3 linked regions of the Caenorhabditis elegans genome follow. The protein of the gene in region 1 purifies or fractionates together with the protein of each later gene. This does not show direct contact. Each region holds a gene or a part of one and is shown in the gene's direction. Other genes may lie near its edges.

Region 1 (8,682 bases):
TTGTGTATTTTCAGATCGCTCAGATTACGAAGGAGACCCTCATAACTGATCTATTTATGTAGAAAAAAACGCATTTTTTATAAATATAATAAAATAAATACAGGAATAACGAAAAAATCATAAAGGATATTTTCTATTTCTCCATAGTTCGTAACCCGGGGTGCAATTTAACTCGTAATTCGGTTCCAAGTGGTGTTTATGATAAATTACCTGAAATATTATCAATCATGTAGATTTAAACCAAAAATGCCTTACATTAACCATATTTGCATAATATTCTTCCTCCAATGGATGATCTTCCTGACCCAAAAATGTACGATTATATATCAACTCTGCCGTACAGTCGATGATGGCGTAGTCAAACGATGGTAACATCTGAATCAGAAGTTACAAGTTTCGTAATTTCTTGAATTTTTACCTTATTGAACATAATATTTGGCATTTGAGCAATTACCGGTAGTTCTTCAATACCCATTATACAAACTCCGTGTCTTACAAATTTGCTTCCGCATTTCCTAGCGATCTCGTCGGACCATGACCACTTGCTCCATCTGAAGCAAAATTATTCAGAATTATAGGAACAGATAATACGGCAAATACCCATTGATTATAAAATCATTGACTATTGTTTCTCATTCAGTACTCTTTGTATGCAACGCACAAAAATATTTCTCTTGTGCAATATGATAAAGATCATGCATAATTAATGTTTTATTTAAACTTTATAAAAGTTATTACCCAACAATTTCATAACTAGACACATTCTAAATTATCCCTCATTAAAATATAATCTGCCAGGAGAAAATGCAATCCAAAGCCAAATATCTTCCAAAACTCGCTAAACTGTATATCTTTAAACTCCCGTATCTTGGAAAATACATTTCTAAAAAACAAATGTTCAACTAACAAAATGATCAAAAATATTTTTTCTGGCTTTTGAATTATTTTTTATTGCACAATGCCAATTATTTGTGGAGTTACATAGAGTCGAAGTCATTTTACGAAAATTCACCTCAATTTTGAGAACCGTTCTGTTCTATCAGTCATTACTTAACATCTATTGAGTTTAAGAAGAAATCATTTGTTGAATAATAACATGAAAATGTTTCTACACATTTGATCAGTTTAAACTTTTTTGATATTTTCATGTTCAGCCAAGTTGCAGACCGTTTTCTGAAAAAATCCAATTTTCCCCAAAAAACTCTTCATATCCAACCTAGAAACTTGAAATTTGGACGAAACATCGTACTTTTTGGTGCTCTATCAGGGCCCATCAAAAAAATTTTGAAAAATCTGCACATCTCCAAAATCGTCCTCCGCTCCGAAAAATGAAATCGGATGTTTGCCTTTCGGAAAATGACCAAAAAATGAAATTGAGCTATTGGGCTCAAAAAAAATGTTTTTAGAATGCTGAGAACACGTTATTTACGAATTTCATGTTCATTTTTCATGATTTCTTCTTTGAAGTGACCTAAAATTAAAACATGAACCTATTTTCATTCTCACGTGACATTTTTTAATTGCCTAAAAGCAAAAACTGATTGACTTCCCAGTTGCTGTTAAGCGTGAGAATGAAAATAGGTTCATGTATTAATTTTAGGTCACTTCAAAGAAGAAATCATGAAAAATGAACATGAAATTCGTAAATAACGTGTTCTCAGCATTCTAAAAACTTTTTTTTTGAACTCAATATCGCAATTTCATTTTTTGGTCATTTTCCGAAAGGCAAACATCCGATTTCATTTTTCGGAGCGGAGGACGATTTTGGAGATGTGTAGATTTTTCAAAATTTTTTTGATGAAACCTGATAGAGCACCAAAAAGTACGATGTTTCGTCCAAATTTCAAGTTTCTGCGTTGGGTATGAAGAGTTTTATGAGGAAAATTGGATTTTTCAGAAAACGGTCTGTAACTTGGCTAAACATGAAAATATGAAACAACTTAAAACTGATAAAATGCGTAGAAATATTTTTATGATACAATTCAACAAATAATTTATTTTTTAATTCAATGGATGTCAAGGTATGACTGGTAGAACATAACGGTTCTCAAAAATTTAAGTGAATTTTCGTAAAATGACTTTAACTCTATGTAACTCAACAAATATTGGATATTTTGTAATGAAAGGTAGTTCAAAAGAAAGAAATAATATTTCTAATCATTTTGTTAGTTGAATATTTGTTTTTTAGATGTGTATTTTCCATGATTCGACGTTTCAAGATAAGTAATTTAGCGAATTTAGGAAGTTATATGGTCCGCTGGGCATGATGTACACCTAGAGTCTCACTGCTTTCCCTACACTTCCATTGGTCAAAGTTCTCGAACAAATGTTAAACTAATAGGTAATGAAAAAGCAGTTGAAACTAGTTTTAGAGTGAATGAGAACAGCTCAAACCTTGTGATAAAATCTGTCTTGTTTCCTGTTTCATTCAAGCATATATCAGAAAAATGTCCGGGCATACCAAGGAAATCATTGGCTTGAAATGTTGATATCCATTGTTCATCAACTCCGTACGCCTGAATAATTAGTTTGCAATTTCTCTATTTGAAAGATATTGAATTTATTTTAGAACCAACTCAAATAACATTATATTCTGTTACCCCTTCATTCCATTGATCTAGATACACTCTTGGATTTACTGTCTTCACCATCCATTCTACTGCTGCTCTCGACAATGATCCTTGCACTGATCCTTTGGAAACTCGTAACGTACTGTTCAAGTACGTAGAGTTGAGAGCAGACTCTGAAATATCTTAATTCAGGAGTGTAGAGACTCCTGTAAAACAAACCATCTCGAAATAATCTCAACGTTTTCAAATCCCACTTCAAACTTTCATCTATTCTCCCGAATTCCTTGTCAATATCAATATCGTTGGCACCATCAAGAATCTCAAATATTCTAGATATTTCATAAACTGATTTTCCAACGACGTCATGATTCTAAAAACATTGCATTTTTACAATTATTAATAAAAGTTTTCCCCACTTGCATCAGTATAAAATAATCCCAATCCGGTAATTTTACCATCTTCTCCATGCATTTGTAGTGTGCTAAATTCATATTATGACCCGCTGAATCTATTCGAAGTTCTTCTGAAACTCTAGTTAATTTAAATTATACATATATTCAATCAGTATACCATCTATTACAAATACATTTGGAAGACATCTACCAAGTCTCCTAATTCTCCATTTAAAATCATCTTTGCTTTTTGAATCAATGAAAAAGCAAAATATATTCTGTGGATGATATGACATTTGTACTTGTTTCTCCAAAAATTCATAGTCTTTATAGACAACTCGTGCAAATACAACACCAATTTTCAACGGCCTCAAATGAAAATTGAATGGAATAATTCGATTTTGAATTGAATAACATGACATATCTAAACTCTCCAAATTTGAGCTCAGGGGTATTCGATGCTCACCAATAAACTTTTCGATATAAGACTGAAATTTTATGTTTTTGGGTTATTTTTTAAACATTTAAATATTTAAAATTACTAACTCTATCATTTGCCAAAATTCTTCCACAATCCAAATGAGCTGTCTCTTTGCGTCTCCATAATATATTAGTTTCCTTTGAAGTCCAAAAACTCATTGTTATTCTAGGTGCCATTGAAAAGATCACAATTGTACAAACAAGCATTGTGAGTAATAAGAAGAAGAAGGTCCTGGAGTATTTGGAGCACATTTTGGAGAAAACGGAAAAGAATGGATGACAGATGGAAATGAAAAGAGAAAGAATGAAGAACCAGAGCAGACATTGGAAAGAATCCAAACATTTCATTCATTTCAAAACATTTACATCCACTTGGGTCTCACACTTTCTTTTTTTGATCTTCAAAAGTTGAGGGTTCTTGAGGGTTATAAATTAGTATTCAAATATTTATTTTTGTTTGTTAAAATTGTTTTTTTTTGTTGTTTGATCGAGAAAAGTACAGTCATATTTACAGATGGTAATTTGTTTAAATGGATACCTTCGCATTGCAGAAAACAAACTAAACAATTACCGTTTTTGAATTCTGGAAAAAATAAAAAATTGCTCTCATTTTCCTATTTGTGAAGGCATTATTCCTTGTTTAAAGTTACATTTTTCATAAATCTATTTGTAATATTTAGAATCGAGGAAATAGTTTTGAATCTTCTCATCTTTTATCTATCTATCAAATTGGTAGTTACCAGTAAATCGAATAGCCTTGAACTATAAAACTGGTAATTCTTAATAAGGAAACTAAAAGGTATTCATCCTTATATTTATCTAAGATTTTACTTCCCTCCGTTTAATTCAATTTTTTTCAAAAAGTCACCTTTTCAATAGCCGCATCAATTGTGCAATAGGTTCAACAGACAATATAGTTTGATTGGATAACAATTTGTACCGGAACAAACTGAGAAGATAACCCTATCATATTGGATTGACCCACCCTTTTTATCAACAAGCAAGTGAAGGAAATTTATTGCATGTTCGTTTTGAAGGAAAATATTCATTGCTACAAGTTATTTTTATCACAATCAGTGAATAAAATTAAAAAAAGATATGTATTAATTTTTTAAGCAAAAATATACTTCAAAATTCAATTTCATTATCATTTCTGCGCGCGGAACCAAAAAATTTGACAGTTTTCTTCAAAACCCAATAAATATCTGCCTTTAATATTTTTGTATACATAGATGAAAACTTTATCAATAAAAGTTTTGGCAAAAAAATACAGTAACCAATGCTGATGAAATCAACTTCCACGGAGTTTCAAGTTCTCTTGGTTTGTGGTGTCTCAACGAGAAAAGCAAACGCGCTCCATTGTTACAGAAAAATTGTGAGTTTTTTATTTCTCATTTTTGCTTCTTTTCAAGCCAAAAATGCGAAGTTTTATATGGATTTTATCATTTTTACAAGGTAATTTCTTATTTATTTTTTGCAAAAAACTTCAATTTCAGTTTGCCTTGCCGGGCGTCTTCAAATCATTTTGCCAAACGACCACATACTTGATTCGAGAAATTCGTCTTTCGATTCAGTTTCATTATTAAATTTCAACAAGAATGCTTTTGGACTTGGTGCTGCAGTTGGAGGTAGGTAACATTTTATTAATATAAAATGTTTTATTGCCTTATTTCAGCTCATCAGGCGATCGGCGATGAAAAATTGTTCCAAAAACCGAAGGCGTTGTTGATAATCGTTATTGACGGACTGGAAAACTTTGATTATGACGGACATGCTTTCAATTTTACGGATAAATTCCAGCCAAATCAAATTCAAGAACATTTCAAACAACAGTTTGGTGATGATATGATTCACGCCGAAGTAAACTCCTCTGGAATATTTGGATCATCGTTGTTTAAAAGAAATACTGAGGGAAACCATGCTAATTACGATACTTATAAGGAGGATCTTCAAAATATGTATCGACTTTCGGATGCAATCATGGAGAAAGATCGAAAAAATGCCAATGTTGTTGACTACTACCGTGTTCACCTTGACGTCTCCAATGCGCGAACAGATATGGAAAGAAAACAATTGGCAGAAAATATCAAGCGAGGTATTGATACATTACAAGATGCTATCAAGAACAGTTATGGCGGGAATGTGGTGGCTGAAATCTATACTCACGAGAAGCCTGATAGAGATGAGAAGGCTAGAATTAAGCTGTTACAAAAAGTATTGCAAGTGACTCAAGCTAGATATATCGATTATCCGGCAAGTGCGGCCATTATGATGTTTGTGGGATTCTCCCTTGTCTTCGTAAGTCCCATGTTAATTCATTCTTTCTAATAAAAAATTAACTTCAGGCGGCAGTTGCGATGTTGTGGTTGATGTTTGATGAAAGTGATATGGCCAAGAAAACGATCCTGGTTCGACTATCGATGGGTAGACAGAAGAAAGATTAGAATTAGATTTATAAATGATTGTAAAAACTGTATTTTCATAATTTATTTCGCTTTACGGCTTTACGGTTCTTTTTTTTGCATTTTTGACTAATCGCTTTCCGGTATTTGTTGCCATGTCATAAAGACTTCAGCTTTATGCATTTGAAACACTATCAGTGTATCAGGTTCTAAACCTTAAGATATCTCATTTTTAAATTTATCAATGCAATCCAACAGTATCAATTCAGAATGCTAAAATCGGCGTCATCGTTGGTGCGAAGTTTCATAAGGCCGCAGACATTCAGGTTATGTAGCTCCAGTTCAACCACGCAGGGATCTCCTTCGGTTAGCTCTGACGATGAGCCCGTAATTTTGGAGAATAATCCATACACAAAAGAGCCACGGAAGTGCCTCTTGTGCTCAACTGGTGTTGAACTCGATTACAAAAATTCGAGACTTTTGCAGGTACGAAATGTTTTAAACTGGAGCTCGGTAAAATCCAATTCTTTTTTTCAGCAATTTGTTTCCACATTCTCTGGGCGTGTATACGATCGTCACATCACTGGACTTTGCGACGAGAACAAGAAGAAGCTGATTGAAGCAATCGCGGTATGATGAACTGGAATAGAGTTAGATAAACGATATTCTTTATTCAGAAATCGCGTCGTGCCGGGTTCATGCCAATCTTCGTAAAGGATCCAAAGTACACCAGAGACCCGAAATTGTTCGACCCGCTCAAACCAATTCGACCACATTCGTTTGCTTAAAATATTTTGTTTTTTTAAAATTACTATTACTGTTTGTTTTTATTTTTAGAATATAAAATTTTCTCTAGACAATCTGTTTCTGTGAATAGTCATCAAGTTAGTGGATACTCCTGCCCACTTTAATACCGCTGGTGATACTAATTAGTAAAATTTTATTTTACTTAAAATTCAACTATTTTTAGATTATGGGCGATGCTGAGAGCGAAATTCAAATTCGCGCATATTGGAATCGACGAGCTGAAAATGTCGATGGAGATGAAAGTGTGGCTGACTTTCTAGCGTAAGCATGAATTAAAAATGTTTTATATATCCTAACTGTTTCGATATTTCAAAAATTATTTACCTCGGGTCTGCCTGATTACTCCTAAAATTAACTATTTATATCCCAGGTATCTTCGAATCGTGGATCAAAACGAATTTCAAATTGCCCTCCCAACTCTGTGCATTGTAGCTGCCAAAGATATCACGGATTCGAGAAAGAAGGAATTCGAAGGAATTTGTGCTGATGTGTTATTAGGTTTGCAATTCAATCAATATTATTAAACATATTTTGATTACAGACGCCGAGTCTTCAAGGCCGTCTCGACGAGCAGTTATTGCATGTCTGAAGGAATTTTGCTCTGGTTCTGCATGGACAGATTTTTACACTTTGGTAGAAGCTCTTGAGGAGCCCCAGGTACCACTCAAACGCGGCAAAAATACGAAAAAAAAATGTTTCATATGAGTAAAAGTGTGAAAAAGTACTGCAGTTTCCAACTCTCATTTCTGCGGAATTTTTTATCGATTTTGCATTGCATAGTTTTTGGATAATAAAAAAAGCTCAAATAGAAACACATAAATTATAAGCAAATCACGGGAAACTTTTTTTCGAAATCGATGAAAACTCCGCAGAAACAAAACGTTTTAAATTACAGTACTTTTTAAAGGCGCTTATCGTGTCGAGACCTGGTATCGCATTTTCGGCGGAAAGCTTGTTTGCGATGTAATTACAATTGGTTTTTTTACAGTTTCACATCATTCGTCCAGTGTTACCTCGATTCGACACGCTTCTGAATTCGGTTCGTGATGGAAAACTCAATTTCCAATGGTTGAAAGTTGCTTTATTCCGAGCTATGCTTCATACAAATGGATGGATTCGAGTTTGGGCGATTGAGAAAAGTATTTCAATTGATGCATCGATTCTAAAGGATAATGATCATGTGATTACATCACTCATCATACCGAATCTCAATAATAATGACGTCTTCTGGAGAAACTTGGAAAAAGGACGAATGGATGCATTTCTGATTCAACTTGGTTCAATGTTCAATTCAATCAGAGAAACCCCAGATTTCATCCGAAATCTATTGGTTTCTATTGAATTAATGTCCTGTCCGACTGCAATTTTCTTTGTTGTATCCGCTCTCAGATCAATTGCCAAAACTGAAATTCTGAACTCTGACGATGTTCCATTATTGAGAAGAGTTGTTTTGAAAGCGAGATATATTCCACACAAGTCGATAAGAATAATTACGATTCGCAATTTGATAGTTTTTTATGCAAAAATTACGAGATTGGTAAGTTTTATTAATATTTTGGAAAATTTCAAAATGTTCTTAACCTTTTATTCAGGATGGAACCCTTCTCCACGAGCTTTCAAATCTAATATCCTACATTTCACAAGATGCCACATCTATAATGATAGATGCCGTGTTCAAAGAAATTCAAAATATTCTCGATGAAACATCATACATTGCAAATGAAAACCAGGACGAAAATGTTTTCCATCAAACTTTTGGAAATGATTCCAAAAATTTAGGATTGCATGCAAAAATGTGGTGGATTTCAATGGGAAAAGCAACCATTCAGAAGGAAAGAATGCTGTCAAGACTTCAATTAGAAGTTTCTGAATTATTAGGAGAGAAGCCTACTGCTGATTTGACATCTCAATTGTTTTTACTCAAGGAACGGCCGGAAAATATGGATTTCAGTAGTGGTAATTTCGTTTAAAATAAATATTATTTATGATTTTTTTTCAGATGTTCTTGAATGTATGAAAAACGATCTAGGT
Region 2 (12,273 bases), on another chromosome or scaffold:
AGAATGTTTGTTAAAAAGTAATTGAAAATGAGTAAAACTGTGAAATATACTAATTTCAGGCTTGTTGCCGTCGGAACTCAGAATATCAGTTTTACGCATTTTCAATTAGTTTTTAACAAAAATGTTGCATTTGTCTTGTTTATTTCTTCCATTTTCCGAGGAAAAAACATAGAAAATGAAGAAAATCAGTCAAATAACGAGAATAAATAAAATTAATAAATAAAAATAATGCAAGCACGCTCCAACGAACAAATTCAATTGGCGGAAATTCAAAAATAATTAGGTGAAAACTGCGATTTTTCCAATTTTCAAAAAATCATATAAAATCTAGAAAAATTTTTTGAATTTTTTTATCATGAAATATTCGGCCAATGTGGCCCCATAGGCGTGTTTTAAAGCAATTTACCCACTGAGCGTAGTCCACCTTTAAATTTAAAATTAAAATTTTTAATTCAAAATAACCTGAAGAGATTCATGAGAAGGATCGATTTCTGAAAGTTCAGAGCAACAGGTTTGAAGGTCGGAAATTTGATCCGTATACGTGTCCAGATCCTCTTGTGACAAATATTTTAGTGGCTCCGCATGAAAAGCTGCAAATTTTTAAGGTTTAAATTGAGTTTTAATGAGATTTTCAGCCAATTTACATATAGAATGACCACACGTTCGGCATTCGATTATCTCCTCGCTTCCCAAAGTTTCCAGATCCCTAGTCATCGGTGCAAAATCATTTTCTCTTTCTGCTCGTGTTGCTCGCCGTTCGACAGTCTGAAAAAGCAGAAAAATTGGTTTTATCGGGGAAAAAATTCAGATTAAACACCAACCTCATCTTCGTGATTCAAAACAGGCCGGAAACCACGGCATTGGCATGTTCCGGCGTTGCAAGACGTGAAATATGTTAATTGTCGTCGTTTTTCATCCAGAGAGTCGCGTTGTTTCATTTTTTTTTATTTCGTTGGTTTTCAGTAGAAATTGAAATTAGAAAAAAATTGGAATAAAAACAGTTTTTTTGAATGCAAAATGTGTGCAAACACCATCACGGTAGAATGCACAGAAACGCATTCGCGCTCTACCGCACAATTTGATGTGGATTTTTGATTTATTTTTTTTTCTTCTTTTTTCAGATTTAAATATTTCTAAGCTGAAAATCTCAAATTTCCTTTGTTTTTTTTTCAATGTTTTATGTTTTCTGTTTGAAAAATTAAAAATCACCCTTATAAAAGTTAATTTAAGGTTCTTTAGCACTATCTTTGCTTTTTTTGGCAGTTTCTTTCAATATTTCGATTTGGCTTTGCTTTTCCTTTTTTCTGAATTCCAGACACTTGCGATAACGTTAGCTTGAAGTCGTTTTAGAAAAATCTTTTTTTTTTAATTTTAAAAAATTGCAACTATTTCCGATTCTTTGTAGAAAACACCTGACGAATTGAGATTGTATCGCCAATTTTTTTTTGTTATTTGCATTCCTCTTCCGATTGCGCTAATCTGACCAGGTTGCTTGCACTTTCTCCGTTAACATCTGTTTTCCAATTTTATTGAATTCTTATAGAATCTGTTTTTCTTCTCTATAAGCAGTCTGTACAGTTTACTTTGGAAAAAAATCGATTTTTGTTTGGATTGTCGTCTAAAACTTGAAATCCTCAATAAAATTTGCGTGAAAATAAGAAATTTTGTTTGAAAATGCCGACTTTGAAGTGCTTTGCACAGTTTTTCAAGCATCATTGAGAAGTTGGAAAAAATTTTTTAATAATAAAAATCGAGGATTTTTCGCCATATTTTTTCTTTCGAAACCCTGCAGGTATGTTGTTCTACCTACAACAAGTCCCCCTTTTTCTTTCCTATCAAAGAAAAAAGCCTAAAAATCAAAATTTTCAAATATAAGTACTGTGAGACCGAGATGTTTGCCTTTTTAGATAAGAATAACGAAACGTCATACATTTAATATTGTGACTCGCAACACAATAACTTTATGGATTTTATGAAAAAAATATATATAGTAAGCCGGAATCCACAGAAAAAATTGCAAAAAAAGTGAAAAGTCCAAAAAAAAGCCTCCAAAATGAGAACGCCCTGAACAATCAGCGCCTTCGAGCTGCTCTGATTGGTCCAAAAGTGGGCGAATTGTAAAATAACTTAGAGTTTGTGGGTATTTTGGTTAAATAGACTAAAACTGGTCCAAAACCACCGAAATCCTTAATGAGACTTCACAAAAAATTTCCAAAAATTTTTTATGGCCGGTCAAAATTTCGAAAAAAAAGAGCCAAATTTTGCTAAAATCTGAAATTTCGCACATTTTTCTTTGTCACAGCCGCTGGATTTTAGTTTTTCTGAAATTATCATCCTTTAATCCTTCTTTTGGTAATTTATCTCGCGGAAATTCGTTGATTGAGACAACTTTTAGGCCGATAGGCATCCAATTTTTATCATTTTTGGATGCCTATAGGTCTAAAAATTGTCTCAATCAACCAATTTCCGCGAGATAATCTACCAAAATAAGGATTAAAGGATGATAATTTCAGAAAAAACTAAAGTCCAGCGGCTGTGACAAAGAAAAGCCAGCGAAATTTCAGATTTTAGCAAAATTTGACTCTTTTTTTTTTCGAAATTTTGACCCGCCATAAAAGTTGTTTGAAAATTTTTTGTGAAGTCTCATTATGAAATTCGGTAATTTTAGACCAGTTTTAGTCTATTTAAACAAAATACTCACAAACTCTACTCCCCCTTTAGAAGTTGGATTTTTCATTCTTTTCGTTTTTCTTTTAAAGTTTTGCTAAATTTGAGACTATTTCAGATTTTTTGAATCTTTTTAAAAATATTCCGGCTACTTCACCTTTGAATAACGAGATAACTAGAAGCCAAAATCACATTATTCTATTATTTCACTCAGAACGTTCACTTCTTTATGCGCACAGAAAATTCACGGCAAAGTATGTCGCCGTCGTCCGTCCGTCCGCTTCGTCACCATCCTTCTCTCTCCTCCGGCGGTCTCCATCATCCGGCTCGTCCCTTCTGTGTCTCTGTGGTCTCTTCACTCTCTCTGTCCCCAACGCCACGTTTCTTCTCTCGCGTCTCTCCACACTTCTCGCCTCTCCTGGTATTTTCAATCGAAACGCTCTTCTCCCGATACTAGCTTTCGCCCGTGCGTCGCTGTCGATTCATTACATTTATTCCAATGATTTGATGTTTTTTGAATCTACAAGAAATTAAATTTTCGAGCTTTTCCGAGTAATCTCTCGAGTTCCAATCAATTATCACCCCTGCTCTTCCTTCTTCCATTTTCCATGATAAAGCTTCACAGCAACGCCCTCTGATAAGCATCTATAAACTGTACAAACCTTTTTTTAAGTACCCAGTTCTCCAGTATTAATATAATTTTGGCTGTTTTTTTTTGTGGAAATGTTGGTGGCAGTTAAAGCTTTGGAGAGCAGCCCCAGAAAAAAGCTGACCAAACAATGGCTCTTTCCCTGCTCACATGGAAAAGCTTGCTCGCTTGTGATGTAATATTTCGTTTTTAGGCGATAACAACTGTTTTATAATTTCCCTTCCGAAATTGTTGTATTAGTTGGAGTTTGCCGACCAGTAATTCTGTAAAATACACCTTTCCTTAGATTTTTTCTTAAAATTTATTGTCTGAAAATTGTTTTTATTTGGCTTGAAACATTAGGAAAAACGTTCGAAAAATGCCTGAAAGTTGGAGACTGCTAGAAACAAATTTCGGCAATTTTCAACTTTCAGACAATTTTTGAAAGTTTTTCCAAATTTTTCGCGTAAAATGAACGCATTTCATCGGATATTTTCCTTTAAGTTTTGTGATACAATGTAGAAAAACATTTTATTTATCTGGAAATAGCCTTTCATAAAAAAATTTCACAATTTCCCAAAAAATTTTCCAAATTTTCCAAATGTTTCGAGCAAAATAAAAGGCTATTTCCAGACAAATAAAATGTTTTTCTACATTTTATCACTAAATTTAAAGGGAAATATCCGATAAAATGCGTTCATTTTACTTGAAACCTTTGGAAAAACTTTCTGAAAGTTGAAAATTGCCTATTTTTCCGGCATTTTTCAACGTTCATGCAATTTTTGAGCTTTTTTTCAATTGTTCCAACTGATATGAAAACTATTTCCAGATGAAGCAAATTTTTATATTTCGATATTAGACTCATACAATTAAAAAAAAAATTTATTTTCTGTAAAACCTCCATAATTTTGAATATTAGTGCTGAAAATTTACTAAATCGGCAATAAATCGGTTAAAAAATATTTCTGAAACACTGAAATTTTTATTTAAATAACGATTAAAGCTCTTCGCGGCTGCCTTTCCGGAGACTAAAAAAATTGAATTTCGATTAAATCCAGTTTAAACTTCTAAAAATCGAATATCAAGCTAGATACTCATAATTTATTCCCAAAAAACACCCATTTACACCTCTTCCTCTTCCACTCCATCCGGTTTTGCGCATCATCTTCATTTGTCTCAAAAGTTTATCACTGCCAACGATCTTTTCATCTGCTGGAGGCTCCACTTTCAGACTGGTTCTTCTAGATTTAATCTACAACACAGCTTATGCTTCTCTCACTAGCCGATTTTGAATGTTTTTGGCAATTGCTAATAGGGAGAAGCAAAATGCATGGAATCTTGATTTGGAAACGAATTTTGAAATTCAACATTTAATTTACCCGAAATTTGCAACTTTTTAACGTGAAACCGAATTTTTTGAGCGAAATTTTTGTCAAATTGAAGAAATTATTGCCATTTCAGAAGTTGAGGAACGACTCGCCCAGTTAGTTGCCGACGTGTTTTTTGGATAGAATTTAATACTGTAATAATCGGATATGTCGGACGGTCAGCTGGTCCAGAGACGCAGAAAGGCTGAAGAGGTAGGATGATTTTACAGAGTTCAATGGAAAAACACGAGAGATAAAAAAAACTGAAAAAGATGAAATTTTCAACTTAAATTACCTCTGTGTAATGTTTAAATTAAACGATTAATCCGTGAATTTTGCAGAAACAGCGTCGCACGGAAAAATAAGCGGAGCTTAATTTCGCAACCCTGCGGCGCGGTTTTTTCAATTTTTCAAACAAAAAAATTCGATTGAAAATATTATCGAATTTAGTTCTCATAAGACTATGAGGATATTTTTGGTTGTAAAAACATTTTTCTTCAGGAAAAGTAAGATAAAACGAACAAAATTAAAAAAAAAACCGTGCCGCAGTGTTGCGAAATTACGCTCCGCCTCTTTTTCTGTGCGACGATGTTTTTGCAAAAAAGAGTTTTCAAGAAAAAACTAATTAAAAATCAATAAAATTTCCAGCCAGTCACTGAAAAGTTGAAATTTTCAACTCAAATTTCCTCTGTGTACTGTTAAAATTAAACGATTAATCGGAAAAAGAGGTGGAGCTTAATTTCGCAACCCTGCGGCGCGGTTTTCCTGTTTTCGTATATTTTTCACGCTTTTTTTTTCAATTTTTTCAAACAAATAAATTCGAATGAAAATATTATAGAATTTTTTCCGAATAAATAGAATAAGCAAAATCGAAAAAAACCGTTCCGCAGCAGGGGTGTGCGGCAAATCTCAAAATTTGCCGAGCTCGGCAAATTCGGCAAATTTGCCGTGCTTAACAAACTCGGAAAAATTATATATTTTTTGATATTTTTTGGAGCACCAAAACTACTGAATTCTTAACACACCTCTGGTTTCTGAACAAGTTAGGTGTAGTGTGTCTGCTTAAACATCAAAATAACTCAATTTGTTATCATTTTACTAAATTTTTGGCGAAAAAATCAACAGTTTTAGTCAAAATTGTACTGTCAAATTTTTGACGTGTGCGGCAAATTTCGAAATTTGCCGAGCTCGGCAAATTCGGCAAATCTACTTTTTTGAAATTTGCCGTGCTCGGCAAATTCGGCAAATTTGCCGCACACCCCTGTTCCGCAGTGTTGCTAAATTACGCCCCGCCTCTTATTCTGTGCGGCGATGTTTTTTTCTGCAAAATTCACAGAATGATATTTCAGTTAACTAATTCAAAATCAATCCAATTTTCAGCCAGTCACCGAAAAAGTCGACGAAGCGAGCGGCGATTCAGCACAATCTTCGGATCAAGAAGACAATGACAAGGGAACCCGATTGACTTTGATGGAGCAAATCCTGTTGCTCGGCCTTAAAGACCGTGAAGGTTACACATCGTTTTGGAATGATTGCATTTCGTCGGGGCTCCGAGGATGTGTGCTCATCGAGCTTGTGCTCCGTGGACGAATTCAACTCGAGGGAGGCGGAATGAGACGCAAGAATTTGCTTAATAGAAAGGTAGTTTCAGATATAAATATTGATTACGGGAGCACAGGCTTCTGAGAATGCGTATTGTGCAACATATTTGACGCGCAAAATATCTCGTAGCGAAAACTACAGTAATTCTTTAATTCTGTTACTGTAGCGCTTGTGTCGATTTACGGGATCTCGATTTTCGAAATTTGTTATAGCTTTTTTCGAATATTGACAACAATATTCTATTTTCCTTTTTATTTTAAAGTCGAGCCCGTAAATCGACACAAGAGCTACAGTAGTCATTTAAAGAATTACTGTAGTTTTCGCTACGAGATATTTTGCGCGTCAAATATGTTGTGCAATACGCATTCTCAGAATTTTGTGGTCGCGTAATATCAATAAGAACCATCTTATCCGCCGAAAAGAAATTTTTCGAATTCAATTGAAAAAGAAAGTTTTATAGTATTATATTTCGTCCCGTGCATCGCACAAACAAACAATATTACAGGTGACTGTGAAAAGCAGCGAGCCAACTGGTGACGTCATTCTCGACGAGGCACTTCGCCATATGAAGGAGACAAACCCGCCGGAGACAGTGACCAGCTGGATTGAATATTTGTCTGGAGAAACGTGGAATCCGCTGAAACTTCGCTACCAACTGAGAAATGTTCGTGAACGACTCGCCAAGAATCTTGTTGAAAAGGGTGTTCTGACGACTGATAAGCAAAATTTCTTGCTTTTTGAAATTACGACGCATCCACTTTCGGACGGAAATCAGAAGACGAAATTGATTAAAGAAGTGCAAGAAGCGGTTCTGGGGAAATGGACGAATGATGTTCATCGTATGGATAAGAAAATGCTCTCGTTGATTGTATTGGCTCATGCTAGTGATGTTCTTGAAAATGCGTTTGCACCGCTTTCTGATCAAGATTATGAGGTAAAACAAATGCTGGAAATCCTGTTTTTTTCTGGAAAATTGGCGCATTTTGAGCCAAAAAATGTGCCTCTTTGAAGATAACTGTAATTTTAAAAATTTTTTTGCTTTAGAATTTTCATCAATTTGTTTCAATTTTTTTTTAAATTATCACATTTTTCCTTTTAAGTTTTTATTGAAAATTATTTTTAATAGAAAACTAAATTCGGAAGCAACGAATATTTATAACTACAGTACTCTTTGGCAAAGATGTGTCGTGTCGAGACCACTACTGTATTTTTAGAACAAAAATCACGAAATTTCGATTCTGTATAATATTGAGAACGATTGAAATTAAATTATTTGCAGAAAAAATTGCAAAAAAAGTTGTATGAAATCAAATTTTGCAAACGCGCTCCATTGAGCTTCCCAGGGCTTAATTGAAATGCTGACATTTCTCGCCAATTTTCAGAAAAATCAATTATAAAAATTCCAGGTTGCAATGAAACGAGTGCGTAGTCTGCTCGATCTTGATTACGACCAGCAAGCCGAAAAGAAGGGAAACGACGTGATGTGGGCTGTTTTTGAGGCGTTCAGCAAGTAGAATCCACAACCAGTGAGTCGGGAAAAAATTGAGCTTTTTTTTTGTCTTTGTGCACTTCAGCTTTAGCAGATTTTTTTTGAGCTAAGCGCTGAAAACGTGAAGTACTAACAGAGCAGGGGCGGCAAACGATTATTTCCGGCAAATCGGCAAATTGCCGAGATATTTTTTCGGCAAATTGTGGTTTTGCACTTTTTTTGTTGGAAGTTAAATTTTATCGGCGAAAAACGGGAAAAAAATTCCAAAAACGCACCGTTTTAAGAGTTTCCGTCTTTAAAAAAATTCCTCAAAACATTTCCGGCAAATCTGATATCCGGCAAACTCGGCAAACTGGTAAATTGTCAGAATTGAAAATTTCCGGCAAACCGGCAATTTTCCGGAATTGAAAATTTCTGGAAAAAAGCCATTTGGCGATTTTTCCGAAAAAAAAACATTTCTGGCAAAACTGGTAAGCGGCAATCTGGCAAATTGTCAGAATTGAAAATTTCGGCAACCAATTTGCCGAAAATAAAAATTTCCGGCAAACCGGCAAATCGCCAGATTTGAAAATTTCTGGCTAATCGGCAAACCGGCAATTTGCCGATTTTGCCAAAATCATTTCCGGCAAATCGGCAAACCGGCCAACTGGCAAAGTGCCAGAATTGAAAATTCCGGCAACCATTTTGCCGAAAATAAAAATTTCCGGCAAATCGGCAAACCGGCAATTGCCGCCCACCCCTGCGACAGAGATCATTTTACTTTCAAAAAATTTTAATATAAAAAATATTTGTTTCCAGGTCACCAATGCGTGTACGTGCAATCTGTAATCAAGTCTAAACCGGTACCATCAATTCTCTTCCCTCCCGCGTATTTATTGTATGTGCTCTTTCTCTTCCATCTGTTTCCATAGCTTTTCGTCTCTCGATTTCCTATTTCTTCCTAACATACACCATATTCTATTCTATTCCAATCAATGTGTGATACCATATACCGTTTCTTTTTTCTTTTTTTTTTTTGGGATTTCTTTGTTTCTTCTCTATGTTTTTTGTACATAAGCGGGAAATGCTCTCTTCATGTTTTTTTTTCTTTCTTTTTTTGGGATCAACGCTTTCTGCAGGTTAATGGTCGCTTGTGTGTTTCCTCTTCCTGAAATTTCCCTTTTTTTCTCGAAAATTCGTTTTTAAATATGTATTGGTTTTCTGTGATAAATTCTCATCCATCCCCCTTTTCTTTTTTCATGACCAGCAGTAGTAATGATTTAGATTTGTTTTCCTTCATCATCCTAAATTACACATATAGTAGATGTATTGAAAAAAATTGATAAAAATTTATCGTGGGACCCGAGATGAGACAAATGAACAGAACAACCAAGAGAAAATGGAAAGAATTGATTAAGAGAAAAAAAAACGAAAATTATTAACTTATTTTAAGCGTCTGGATCTTCTGTTGCGAGCAACTTTCGAGAATCGTCACTTCTTGTGGACGTTGAGGAAGTTGGAAGAGGGCGATGGGCTCTGGAATTTTTGAAAAAAATATTGAAAATTTAGGTTTTTTCTTTTGTTGGGTAAACACGGAATGCACAACGATTACCGTGATTAGGAGAAGACGGGAAACAGACAAAAATTTGAATTTGGCGGGATTTGAAAACGTGCTCTATTGAGAATCCTGGGGAGGCTCAATGGAGCGCGCTTGCAACACGGTTTCGACAAGAAAATATGATTTTCGATAGAGCGCGTTTGCAAACAACTACTTTTCGATGTTTCTGAATAATTTCTTTTTTAATAGCGTATTTTGTACAGAAAAAGGATAACTCTTCAATTTTATCGATTTTTTACAAATTATCGATAAAAATGAAGTTGATTGGTTCTTGGATCTTAATCGATTAAAAAACGAAAAAAAAAAAGTTTTTCTGCGAAGTTTTATCGAATTTTCTGTTGTCTACTATGCGTATTGCGCAACGTATTTGACGCGCAAAATATCTCGTAGCGAAAACTACAGTAATTCTTTAAATGACTACTGTAGCTCTTGTGTCCATTTACGGGCTTGGCTTCTTAAACGAATTTCTGTTCGAATAGTGACATCAAATTTTTTATCGATTATGTAATAAAGAAGGCTTTCCGTAAATCGACACAAGCGCTACAGTAGTTATTTGAAGAATTACTGTAGTTTTCGCTACAAGATATTTTGCGCGTCAAATATGTTGCGCAATACGCATTCTCAGAATTCAGTGTCCCCTTAATAAGCCCGCTCTATTGAAAATTTAAAATTATTGATTAAATCAAGCTTTCGTGCCGTGGCAGTGAGAATTGTTTGTGTAATTAGAACTAAATTAATTTCTAAAAACTGAAAATTTTCCTGTTGCTCATTCAATGCCATTCAGTTAACCATCACTTCACAAACCGACACTACGATGCTCCGATATGCCGCCTGTGCCCTTGGCGGGATAAATGAGCATCGTTGAAACTATTCTATAAATTCGACAATAGGCGATAGAATCAGAAGGGAAAAGAAGCAGACAAAGGACAAAAACAGAAGGAAACGACAATTTTACATTTACGTCTTGTTTCTTACGTTGGAAATTATAATCAAACTGTTTTCGAAAGAAGCGAGTACTGATGGTCAGTGTCGGCAGATATACGACTCAGCCTGTACAGATAGAGTTAAGTATGCAGGAAGATAAAAAATAATGGGTCTTGACACGAAAATAAAAAGCTTAAAAATCGATAATTCGAGGCGATCTTACGCTTTTCCAGATTTGAGCGTAAGATGTCTAAGTATTACTGGATCACAAAATTCTGAGAATGCGTATTGTACAACATATTTGACGCTCAAAATATCTCGTAGCGAAAACGTCAGTACTTCTTTAAATGACTACTGTAGCTCTTGTGGCGATTTACGGGATCTCGGAGTTTCTTTTCAAATATTCTAGTCATTTAAAGAATTCCTGTAGTTTTCGCTACGAGATATTTTGCGCGTCAAATATGTTTTGCAATACGCATTCTCAAAATTTTGTGTTCCCATAATACGGTGGAAACCGAAATTTTGGGAGAAGTGAATTCACGAGAATCATGCGCCGAAAATCTTTGTCTAAATAAATCTTTTCATGAAAACTTTCATTAAAAACCTTTTTTCCCGGTTTTTACTAAAATTAATTTTTAAAAAATTTAATAGGGGAAAAATGTGCGGCGCACTTGCAAAACCTTTTTAAAAATTAGGCTCCACCTCTTTGCAAAGAAATTTTGCAATGCCGCTGCACGCTTTTTTCCAGTCATTTTTAAGTTTAATTTTTGCTTTTTTTTTTGTCCATTTCGGTGGAAACCATGAAGGAAAACTTGGAAATGGCAAAATTTTGAACAAAAAAAATCAAAAGAAAAAAGTGTGCGTCGTACTTGCAAAAAAGGAGGAGCCTATTTTCAAATTCACCCGAAATTTCGGTTCCCCTGAATCCAAGTATCCAATCCGAAACTAATTCACAATTCGAATATTCTGTCTTACCTCTGATGTCGTTTGTTCATTCCGTGTAAAAGCATTCCAGACAAACAAAGAACTAAACCACAAATATTCAGTTCCGTTAGTGTGTCCTTGTTCACGATATGTGCCAATAAGAGTGTCGCAACTTCTTTCACAATTCCGAAAATGTTTAGCGTGATTCCAGAAGTGTTCACGAGAAGCAGGTATTCTGGAAAAAAAAGGGGTATTAGAAAAAAATCCAATTTCATTTCAGGCGGCGTGGACCGCGACGCAACACGCTTCGCACAAGGTAGGCGGATGTTTTGCGCCAAAATCTAGGTTCGACCAAAATAATTGAAAACGTTTGAATTCCATTTTGATAAAACTCTCCATCAAAATACCCCTGGGCTGAAATTTTTGGAGAAATGACAAATTTACATGGGTTTATTACGGGAACACAATATTTTGAGAATGCGTATTGCGCATCATATTTGACGCGCAAAATATCTCGTAGCGAAAACTACAGTAATTCTTTGAATGACTACTGTAGTGCTTGTCGATTTACGGGATCTCGATTCTTGAAATGAATTAAAGTAATTTATTTATCGATTGAATATTAAAATTTAGCAAAAAATGAAAATCGACCTACAGTAGCCATTTAAAGAATTACTGTAGTTTTCGCTACGAGATATTTTGCGCGTCAAATATGTTGTGCAATACGCATTCTCAGAATTCTCAAAATGGAATATAAAAACATTCACAACTCACCACTCATTTCCATACAGAACGCCAGCAATCCTCCTCCGGCAATTAATCCCATCACAAGCCAAGGATCATAATGTCCCTTGAATGAAAACACGGAATTCCAATTGATCTCAGCTCCTTCGAACAACCAAATCATCGGAATAATTGGAATCATCATCCATGGCTGTACATGTGCAACCATATCCAATGGATGTCTCACTGCCGAGTCATCTCTTTGCATTACCATCTGAGAAACTGTCCATCGGATTCCAGTGCATGCAGCCGCAAGTTCAACAAGCATCAGCCCGGTTAAATCAAGTTGTGA
Region 3 (9,963 bases), on another chromosome or scaffold:
GTTAAAGTGATTAAAAGTTTGTGATTAGTCAGTTTGAAATTGTCGAAAAATAGGTGGTTTCAGAACACGTGCTATGTGGATTGGGAACTGACAACCAAGTGTCCGCCGTTGAAGCTTTCACCCAGAATGTGCAATCATAAAGTCTCGAAATTTGATTAATCTGTAATAATGTAATACTTCATTATTTGCACATAGTTTTGTTAATAAAGTTTTAGCTCTTTCATTGCATGCCAAGAATTTTAGTAGTTCAAAATTTCCTTTCAGACTAGTGAAGCATCCGCCATAAAGTCTAATATTATATTGTCTGCGACCATAAAATTTATATTTTTCTGAGAATACAAAAACAGAACTTTCCAATTTCCGCTGTCCACATACAGTAGTGCTAATTTATTATATCGTGTTGAGAAGCCTTTCAGGCTATAACTATTACTTTTTCACTTCCTTGCATAGTTTGAAAATGTCGGCTCTGACACTGTTTGAACTATCCCATGTATTCACAATTGTTGAGTTCTTTGCCAGCACTTTTACCAATCTCATTCTAATATTTCTCACTGCTTTTTACGTGAAAAATTTGTTCGGAACCTACAAACGAATGGTCATTTATTTTTCAACGCTTGGAATTGTATTTTCAGCATTAGAAATTACCGCAAAACCGTTTTCTCACAACTATAACGGTTCTCTACTATATTTCAGTACAAGCGAGTTGCCTGAAACTTTTGTATCTTTATTAATGTCATCTTGGAGCGCGTTTTATATAATTGTAGTTGCATTTATAGCAGTACAATTTGTCTATAGATATCTTTGTTTGACTAACTACAATGCAACAAAAAAATTTGATGGCGTCAAAACTGTTTTTTGGATAATTTATCCCTTAGTGCCAGGGGCATTCTACACTATTTCCATGAATTTTCTGTGTGCAGCCGATGAATATTCCGATAGTTACGTACAGTGAGTGGCTTCTCTGAAAATAATCTTATACCATGTTATCTGCAAGTTCATCTTATTTTTCAGAGCTACAATAAGTAAAAATTACGGGCTCGAGGTGTCAAAGTTGCCAAGATACTCTATGATCGCATTTTCTGCCGATGGATCCTTACGGTGGAATACAGTTATATATTTGATCATAGGAATTTCTTCAATAAGTTTTCACTATTTTATCATTATAGTGTGCTGCTACAAAATGCACATCTCCATGAAAATAGAACTGGCAAAGTTTTCCGTCAAAAACCAGACGCTTCACCGTCAATTTTTCAAAGCGCTCATCGTACAAATAATCGGTCCAACTATTTTTCTGATCATTCCGACCATCCCAATTTTCTTCGCACCGTTGCTCTCGCCTATTCTCAAAATTGATGTCGACTGGCAGACGGGCAACTTATTTGCCCTTGTTGGCTTTAATGCTCCATTTGACAGTATTGCATTTATGTTAATTGTTTCAGAATATAAAACAATCGTTAAACGTTAGTTTCGGAAGTATAATGTATATCATGATATTCAAATGTTTCAGAGAAATTGTGCGGCGTTTCGGTGGTTTCGGTGGTTTCAACAGCAATAGTTACTCAGCCAGTGCTTTTTTGAGCTGAATTTGATGTTTCGAGAATAATAAATTGTATAACTAATTCAATTGAATAAATACACTTTTAGATAACTTTTTCTTGAAAGTTTAAATCTTAATCCACTATTACAAAAGTTTTAAAATCTATATTACGAGCTCTCACTGTGTAAGAGGCGTATAGCAGAGTCTATGACGTCATTCAAAAAATACACCCTATTTTTTGTGGGTCGTTCAGGAATTATATATAGTTACTGACAACCTAGAAAACATAAAACATGGTTAGTCGTATTAGTTTCAGACGCACGCGTTATAATTTCGGTTTGTCGACTATACCAAACAACACGGGTCTCGGTTCACCAATTGTTCTGATTTCCTTTCAATTTTTATACCGAAATCGCATTGGGCAAATATATCAAGTTGGTAGACATTTCTTTCCAATAGATTATGTTATGATAGTTTAGAAGTCTGTGCTCTAATTTCCCTATGTTGATTATGTTCAAATCCGCGTGACGTAAACATGCCTCTTCTGTAAGATACTCCCGCCTAATATCTTCTTTTGAACATCACAACTGCTCGTAATGTTCATGTTCAAGTTATTTGGCTTTTTCACAGCGTTTGGATTCTTTTCTGGATGCATCGCGAACTCCCTCTTCATCTTCATCACAATTAAATATATTAAAAACATATCAGTACCATATAAACGAATGATCGTTGTCTTCGCTGCCCTGGGACTCATGTTTTCGGGCTTTGAAGCTATTTCAAAACCATTCACCCACAACTACAATGGTACGCTATTGTACTTCAGCGCTACCAATTTTCAATTACCAATTAATATCAGCAATGCCTTCATAACGGTGTGGTCGTGCTTTTATCTAACAACTTTCTCATTTATATCCGTCCTGTTCATATACAGATATTTATGCTTATTTGACAGTTCAAAAACCAGGTTTTTTGAAGGATTCAAAGGCGGCTTATGGATGTTGTATCCTTTACTACCAGGAATTTGCTATGCTAGCACTATAAAGTATTTATGTGCACCTAATGATTATACAGATGAATATGTCAGGTAAATAGTACCATCTTGAACGTTCGGCAAATTTCAAGTAGTGCATTTTCCAGAGACTCTGTAGCAGAGAATTATGGATTAAATGTATCTGAACTCGCTAGGTTCTCATTAACACCTTATAATTCTGATGGCTCTGTTATACATACTAGTATAATATTCCTTTTGATCGCATCATCTCTCATCAATTTTCATTTCTCCATCATCATATTCTGCAGTCTAAAAATGCATTTCAACATGAAGAAGGAATTGGAAAAGTTCTCTGTCCAGAACCAAAATTTACAACGGCAATACTTCATTGCACTTGTCATACAGGCGTTAGTACCAACAATGTTTCTGATAACACCTGCCGTGCCAATCTTGATAGCTCCATTTTTGGCACCAATCGTTGGAATTGAAGTGGATTGGCAGTCTGGGAACCTGTATTCGCTTGTTGGATTTTATCCGCCGTGTGATTGTATTTCAGTCGCACTAGTTGTTTCCGAGTATAGAAATATTATTAAAAGTTAGTTTGAAACGTTTAGTAAATTTGGCGGTTTACTGGTAAATTAATTTTATTTCAGATAAAATATCAATGTGTTGTAAGAACAATGCACAAGTCTCCGTGATAAATTCACTTTGAGAAACTCCAGTTTGAGGAGAACACAAATTTATTGGTAGTGGAAGAATTCAAAATGCTTTAAATGTATTAAATTCACTTAACATTCGTGATATACATAAATAAAAACTGTAAAATAATGAATTAATTACATTTAGAGTAACATCGAATAAAGATTACTTAATCAAATGTGGAACATAATAAAAGGGAGTTTAGTTTAGGTACACTTACTATGATCTAATATACACCCCTCAAACGGGCATTTAACAACAAAAAAAAATAGTTAATGATGACTAATAGAACAGAAAACCCAATTTCAAGTACTTCTATTGAAGTTGGATTGTGGAGATGAAATTTTGACGGACTTTGATAGAAAATGGAACAACTACCGGAAGAACAATAATTCCACAAGCGGCATAACTAATTCTAATGAAAAAAGTGCTGGTGAAGAATAAATATTATATATTAAAGATTATTGCATCTTTTTTTAAATCAACTATTCTCTTCATAGTTGCCTGCATCACTATAGTTTGAGTAATAAATATTTGTCGTATTTTTCTGACAAAAATTCAATAACTATTACAGATAAACTCCATCGATTAATTTTCCGTAAACCATGATTTTTTGTGATCTTTTTCTAGTTTACAGCATTTGCAAACAAGTACATACGTAATTTTTTTCTCAACTCATATATTGCATAAACCTGTCTAACGAGAATTATATTTTTGTTTTGTATCTTCTTGAGACCATCTCAATCGCTTGAAGTTCATCTAAAAAACTTCACGTTTTTTGAAAAAAATTTACTGTGATATTTGATCATTTTGGCGTCATAGAAGTGGTTATTCCGACAACGGAAAAATGTGTGAAGTAACTATTTGGTCAGAAAGAACATAGGCAGATCACTCTCTTTTCGATGAAGTATGGATTAGTGTGGATCATTCAGATTAAACTACAGAGAGTATAATATATTTCCATGTAACAGTTTTGGTTCATTATTTAGACATGAGGTTGTCTATTTGCTGGGTGATTCCATTGTTCACATGTTTCAACTATATCGAATCCAAGTCCACAAAATTGAATTCGTCTTTAAACGTTTGCACACAAAGTGAGAAAGCTGAGATAAATGCGAAGTGCACCCCTTATGTGAACAATTTGATGAATTTAACGAATGAATATTCAAACATTCAAGTTACATCAGAGATCGCAAAAAATATCAATACAACTTGCAACAAGATACCGGTAGGTTCTTTGTATATTTGTATTCATTTATGTTTTATGTTACATTCCAGACATGTTTTGGTCAATTCAATTGCACGGAAGCTCAAAAAAACAAAGAAACTTACGAGAGAAAATGCGAAAAAATTGAATTCACATATTATGAAATGATGGATTGTGTTTCGAAAATATACGCATTGTATTACCGCGGAGACTACTTCTGTAGCTTTGGCATAAATTTTTTGACGGTAAGACAAGTAAAATTTAATTAACGGTACTTGTGTATTACATGCCCTCATCGAAAAATTACAAAAAAATCCACGAGAATCGATGATTAATGTGAAAAAACAAATTTAAAAAAAATGTTTTCCCGCCTTTTGTGTGCAGTAAAGCTATGGGCCAACCTGACACCACGTGATCAGTAGGTATTTTGTTTTGCATAATATAACATAGGTAACCAATTTTGAAAATAATATTATATTTTAAAAATAATTATTCCAACTTTAAAAAAACATTTTATAAGGCGGGATTACTTTTGAAATACCTTCCAACATCACTGTGCGGTCATTCCAAAAGGATTCAGTCTTTAATTTATTTTTATTTTAGCAAAATTTGAAAAAAAAAAGTCCGTAAAACTAAGAAACAAACATTTTCAGAAAGATCCGGACAGTCGTCGTAAATCATATGTCAGTGGAGAAGAATGTGTTAAAGGAATTGCTTTAAGAACAAAATGCGACAAAAAAGCATTGGAATATCTAGATTCATATTACGAAAGATTTGTGGATATTATGAGTACTAAACACCACGGCCATTCTTTGTTCCATGAGTTGGTATCAAAACGGTGTGATCCTGTGAAGGACAAAATGAATGAAGAAATAATTGTTTTGAAAAGCGAAATGAAGTCCTCAATAGAACTGACGACTCATGAAAAAACCACAGAAGCATGGCGAACCTTTGAGAAGAAACGCTGGTCCAAGCCGACGTCAGTCTGTGATGAGTTGAAGGTTAGATTTAATGTTAGAACAAAATAGTTGGGACAATAATGCCTTTAGAAATGTTGCTTTGATTGATAAAATATAGTTTAGCTTAGGGCTTCCCGCTGAGTGAAGTGCAAAATGCGAGCCACGAGCCGGCTTCACGCCTACGTCGCGCGCCGCTGTGTGTGTGCAGCGAAGTGCGAAAGGTGGTTATTTGGAAGCGGCCGACACGTTCGCGGTTCCTCGCCGCACTATACATGTGGCGTGGTAGATGCGGTGAAACCGGCGCGGCGACCGCTGAGGCAGGCGAAGGCGCCGACCTCATGGGAGCCCAGTTAAAGTTTGGCAACATGCATTTTCAATTTTTCGCTGATTTTTGCGTCAGTTTAAAATAAGTATAATTCAAAAATGGGAGTTTTAGAAATAAATTCATAAAACAACTTATCTGGCATACTATTGCTTGTAATGTTGTCGAAATTGTTTGAAAACTCCGAATTTCATAATGGAACCTTCTGAAAACTTTTTTTAAAAGATGGGGACTCAAAAAATGACCTAAAATTAAAATTTGAAATTTGCCCGACTTGTATGCGTAAAGATAAATCCATTTCTAAAATATTTCACATAAATACGTTTCAGACCTGCATGAAAAGCTCTTACTTTTCTGAAGACCGCACCAACGAAACCGTCGAACTTTGCAATGTGATGTATGAAGACGTATTCAATCTCTGCTTAAATGAAGTAAGAACCCGGGAAGACGCGAAAACTTTTCCGTGTTTCATTGATGAAAAATTTCATGATCCACAGAATAATACAGAACTCCTAAAAAACAAGGAATGCATACAATACGTCATGACTGGCATGTGTGGAGATGGAATTTTGACGAATTTCGATATCAATTGGGACAATTATCAAAAGAACACCAATTCAACGGAAGGCAATTTAATTTAAATAATTTTGCAAAATAAACATTCTACATTTTTGAATACCGTATCTTTGTATTTATTTATTTTTTGAAAGTCTAGTACACTGGTAGATTTAGACTGATTAAAAATGTGTCGTGTTTTCTAAAAAACTTGTTGTAGACTTGGACTGCATTTTCTAACGTTATTTCAAAAAAACCTATTTCGAGAATTAAGATTTCATATATAAATTTTATAGAACTTACTGTTTTCTTTAACTACTCAGGATATTTTGAAAAAAATGTTGCAACCCAAATATATAACCTTATTTTTTATTTTTATCCCAAATAAGTATGCTTCAAGGCAATTCAAATTCCGCATTACTCAAAATTTTAAATAAAACACTTGAATTTTTTGAAATTTAGGAAATTTACAAGAGACACGTGCTCGCCGGCTGTCCTTTTGCAATTAAACAAATAGATTAAAATAAAAACAAAAAAAAAAGACGAAAAAATAGATTGACAGACGAAAAATAGATTGACAGACGAAAAATAGATTGACAGACGAAAAATAGATTGGCAGACGAGAAATAGATTGGCAGACGAAAAAATAGATTGACAGACGAAAAAATAGATTAACAGACGAAAAAATAGATTCACAGACGAAAAATAGATTGGCAGACGAAAAAATAGATTGACAGACGAAAAATAGATTGGCAGACGAAAAAATAGATTGACAGACGAAAAAATAGATTGACAGACGAAAAATAGATTGGCAGACGAAAAATAGATTGACAGACGAAAAATAGATTGACCGACGAAAAATAGATTGGCAGACGAAGAAAATAGATTGGCAGACGAAAAATAGATTGACAGACGAAAAATAGATTGACAGACGAAAAATAGATTGACAGACGAAAAATAGATTGACAGAAGAAAAATAGATTGACAGACGAAAAAATAGATTGACAGACGAAAAATAGATTGGCAGACGAAAAATAGATTGACAGACGAAAAATAGATTGACAGACGAAAAATAGATTGACAGACGAAAAATAGATTGACAGACGAAAATAGATTGACAGACGAAAAATAGATTGACATACAAAAAAAAATAGAATGACAGACGAAAAATAGATTGACAGACGAAAAATAGATTGACTTACGAAAAATAGATTGACAGACGAAAAAATAGAAAAATAGATTCCCCCTTCCTACACGCTTTGCCCCGTTTGCCGTTTGACACCGGAAAAATGTGTTATGTATTGTTCAGAAAGAACTTCTATGAAATATGGATTAGTGTGGATCATTCAGATTAAACTACAGAGAGTATAATATATTTCCATGTAACAGTTTTGGTTCATTATTTAGACATGAGGTTGTCTATTTGCTGGGTGATTCCATTGTTCACATGTTTCAACTATATCGAATCCAAGTCCACAAAATTGAATTCGTCTTTAAACGTTTGCACACAAAGTGAGAAAGCTGAGATAAATGCGAAGTGCACCCCTTATGTGAACAATTTGATGAATTTAACGAATGAATATTCAAACATTCAAGTTACATCAGAGATCGCAAAAAATATCAATACAACTTGCAACAAGATACCGGTAGGTTCTTTGTATATTTGTATTCATTTATGTTTTATGTTACATTTCAGACATGTTTTGGTCAATTCAATTGCACCGAGGCTCAAAAAAACAAAGAAACTTACGAAAGGCAATGTGAGAGAATTGAATTCACGTACTATGAAATGATGGATTGTGTTTCGAAAATGTACAAAGTGTTTTACCGCAGAAGCAACTACTGTATCTATCACTTGGATTTTTTAAGGGTAAAACAGTCATTGTTTTTCATTCGTGATTTTTTTGTTTTGCATAATAGAAAATAGGCCGTAATGACTGAAAGTAACTATAAAAATATTTAAAAAGGTGGAATTATTTTTGAATTACCTCCCAAATTAATGATGTCATTTTCAAAATTTTTGTAATGCCGGAAAACGCAAAAATGACGTCACTCAATTTCGAGGTCAATCGAAAACAATTTTGACGTTTTATTTGCGTAGAATTGAAAAAAAAAATCAATAAAATTAAGAAACAAACATTTTCAGAGAGATCCGGAAGATCGCCGTAATGCATACGTCCGTGGAAAAGAATGTGTTAAAGAAATTGCTTTAGGAATAAAATGTGACGAGGAAGCATTGGAATATCTAGATTCACAATATGAAAGATTTGTGGATATTATGAGCACTAAACACCACGGCCATAAAAACGATTCTTTGTTCCATGAATTGGTATCAAAACGGTGTGATCCTGTGAAGGACAAAATGAATGAAGAAATAATTGTTTTGAAAAGCGAAATGAAGTCCTCAATAGAACTGACGACTCATGAAAAAACCACAGAAGCATGGCGAACCTTTGAGAAGAAACGCTGGTCCAAGCCGAAATGTTGTTTTGATTGATAAAATTTATTTCTTCGAAAACCTGTATTCAGTTCAAATTCAAACATAATATGTACAACTACAACACTATTTTTATCTCAGCTTATATTTTTGGAAATAAATTCATTTCTAAAATAACGTAACCGGATTTTGAAACCATTCGAGTTTCACAAAAAAACCTTTCAGACCTGCATGGAGACCTCTTACTTTTCTGAAGACCACACCAACAAAACCGTCGAACTTTGCAATGTGATGTATGAAGACGCTTTCAATCTCTGCTTAAATGAAGTAAAACCTCGGGAAGACGCGAATAGTTTTCCGTGTTTCATTGATGGTAGGTTTCATAATCCACAGCTAAATACAGAAGAATTAAAAAACAAGGAATGCATGCAATACGTCATGACTGGCATGTGTGGAGATGGAATTTTGACGAATTTCGATATCAATTGGGACAATTACCAAAAAAACACCAATTCAACAGAAGGCATTTGAATTTAAATAGTTTTGAAAAATAAGCATTCCGCATTTGTGATTACTGCTTTTTTATATTCATTTATTTTTCAAAAGTCTCGTACATTGTTCCTTTAACTACCATAGGAAAATTTATCGCAACACAAGCACGGCCAAGAACTTTCCTCGTCCGGGTTTTGGTTAGGCCATTTTTTGAATTGACAATTAGAGTTTTCTAGTCCCCGGGTTTAATTTAGGCCAGCCAGCAAGCACGTAAAATCAGATATTTGAAAAAAAACTGTTTATCTGCTAATGTGCAAATTTTAAAGGTGGAGTAGCGCCAGTGGGGATTTTGTCTAAATGCACTTATAATGATCCAAAGTAACCGAATATCATAATAAAACGCTCCAAAAGTGTTTAGATTTTTCATAATTTCCGGTCAACGTTTTGGTACATTGCTAAAATTTTGAAAAATACGAGCTTTTGAGGAAATTTAAAGAAATTTAGCTTGTCCGACCCCTACAATGTTTCAGTATGAATAACTTAAACAAAATTAAAACATAACAAAAATCGAAAAAAAAAATTTTTTTTGGCCGACTTCCAAAATTATGAGTGGCAAAAACTGAGTAAATGCCACTTTTTGACAGTAAATAAAATACTTTCAAAAATTTTTTGAAAAGTTTTATCATGATATTTGGTCACTTTGGGACCAAAGGAGTGGTTTTTAGAACTTTCCCCACTGGCGCTACTCCACCTTTAAGGTATTT

The links.
Region 2: the proteins of T14B4.3 (region 1) and Y47G6A.18 fractionate together in Caenorhabditis elegans (co-fractionation; one large-scale study listed by BioGRID). This does not show direct contact.
Region 3: the proteins of T14B4.3 (region 1) and Y73C8C.4 fractionate together in Caenorhabditis elegans (co-fractionation; one large-scale study listed by BioGRID). This does not show direct contact.

The regions. Positions count from the first base shown.
Region 1 is NC_003280.10:6,730,090-6,738,771, forward strand, and holds T14B4.3 (VWFA domain-containing protein), read left to right. Parts: upstream 1-4,847; 5' UTR 4,848-4,860; coding exon 4,861-4,897; intron 4,898-4,938; coding exon 4,939-5,070; intron 5,071-5,117; coding exon 5,118-5,740; intron 5,741-5,787; coding exon 5,788-5,886; 3' UTR 5,887-6,021; downstream 6,022-8,682. Other genes in the region: T14B4.9 (Core-2/I-Branching enzyme), read right to left, coding at 118-210, 256-375, 419-551, 2,395-2,516, 2,601-2,743, 2,790-2,940, 2,987-3,093, 3,141-3,450 and 1 more; mrps-18.C (28S ribosomal protein S18c, mitochondrial), read left to right, coding at 6,115-6,330, 6,382-6,474, 6,522-6,632; T14B4.1 (tRNA/rRNA methyltransferase SpoU type domain-containing protein), read left to right, coding at 6,818-6,912, 7,022-7,149, 7,193-7,308, 7,640-8,188, 8,244-8,607, 8,651-8,682.
Region 2 is NC_003279.8:3,505,217-3,517,489, reverse strand, and holds Y47G6A.18 (Golgi phosphoprotein 3 homolog sauron), read left to right. Parts: upstream 1-4,756; 5' UTR 4,757-4,830; coding exon 4,831-4,875; intron 4,876-6,042; coding exon 6,043-6,303; intron 6,304-6,769; coding exon 6,770-7,198; intron 7,199-7,670; coding exon 7,671-7,778; 3' UTR 7,779-7,790; intron 7,791-8,551; 3' UTR 8,552-9,092; downstream 9,093-12,273. Other genes in the region: pcaf-1 (histone acetyltransferase), read right to left, coding at 463-590, 645-765, 822-938; Y47G6A.7 (Sugar phosphate transporter domain-containing protein), read right to left, coding at 9,181-9,268, 11,250-11,433, 11,973-12,273.
Region 3 is NC_003283.11:3,096,405-3,106,367, reverse strand, and holds Y73C8C.4 (T20D4.11-like domain-containing protein), read left to right. Parts: upstream 1-4,218; coding exon 4,219-4,455; intron 4,456-4,505; coding exon 4,506-4,679; intron 4,680-5,087; coding exon 5,088-5,435; intron 5,436-6,044; coding exon 6,045-6,356; 3' UTR 6,357-6,450; downstream 6,451-9,963. Other genes in the region: str-68 (Seven TM Receptor), read left to right, coding at 1-16, 64-140; str-69 (Seven TM Receptor), read left to right, coding at 458-948, 1,012-1,460, 1,508-1,578; str-66 (Seven TM Receptor), read left to right, coding at 2,134-2,621, 2,675-3,123, 3,182-3,240.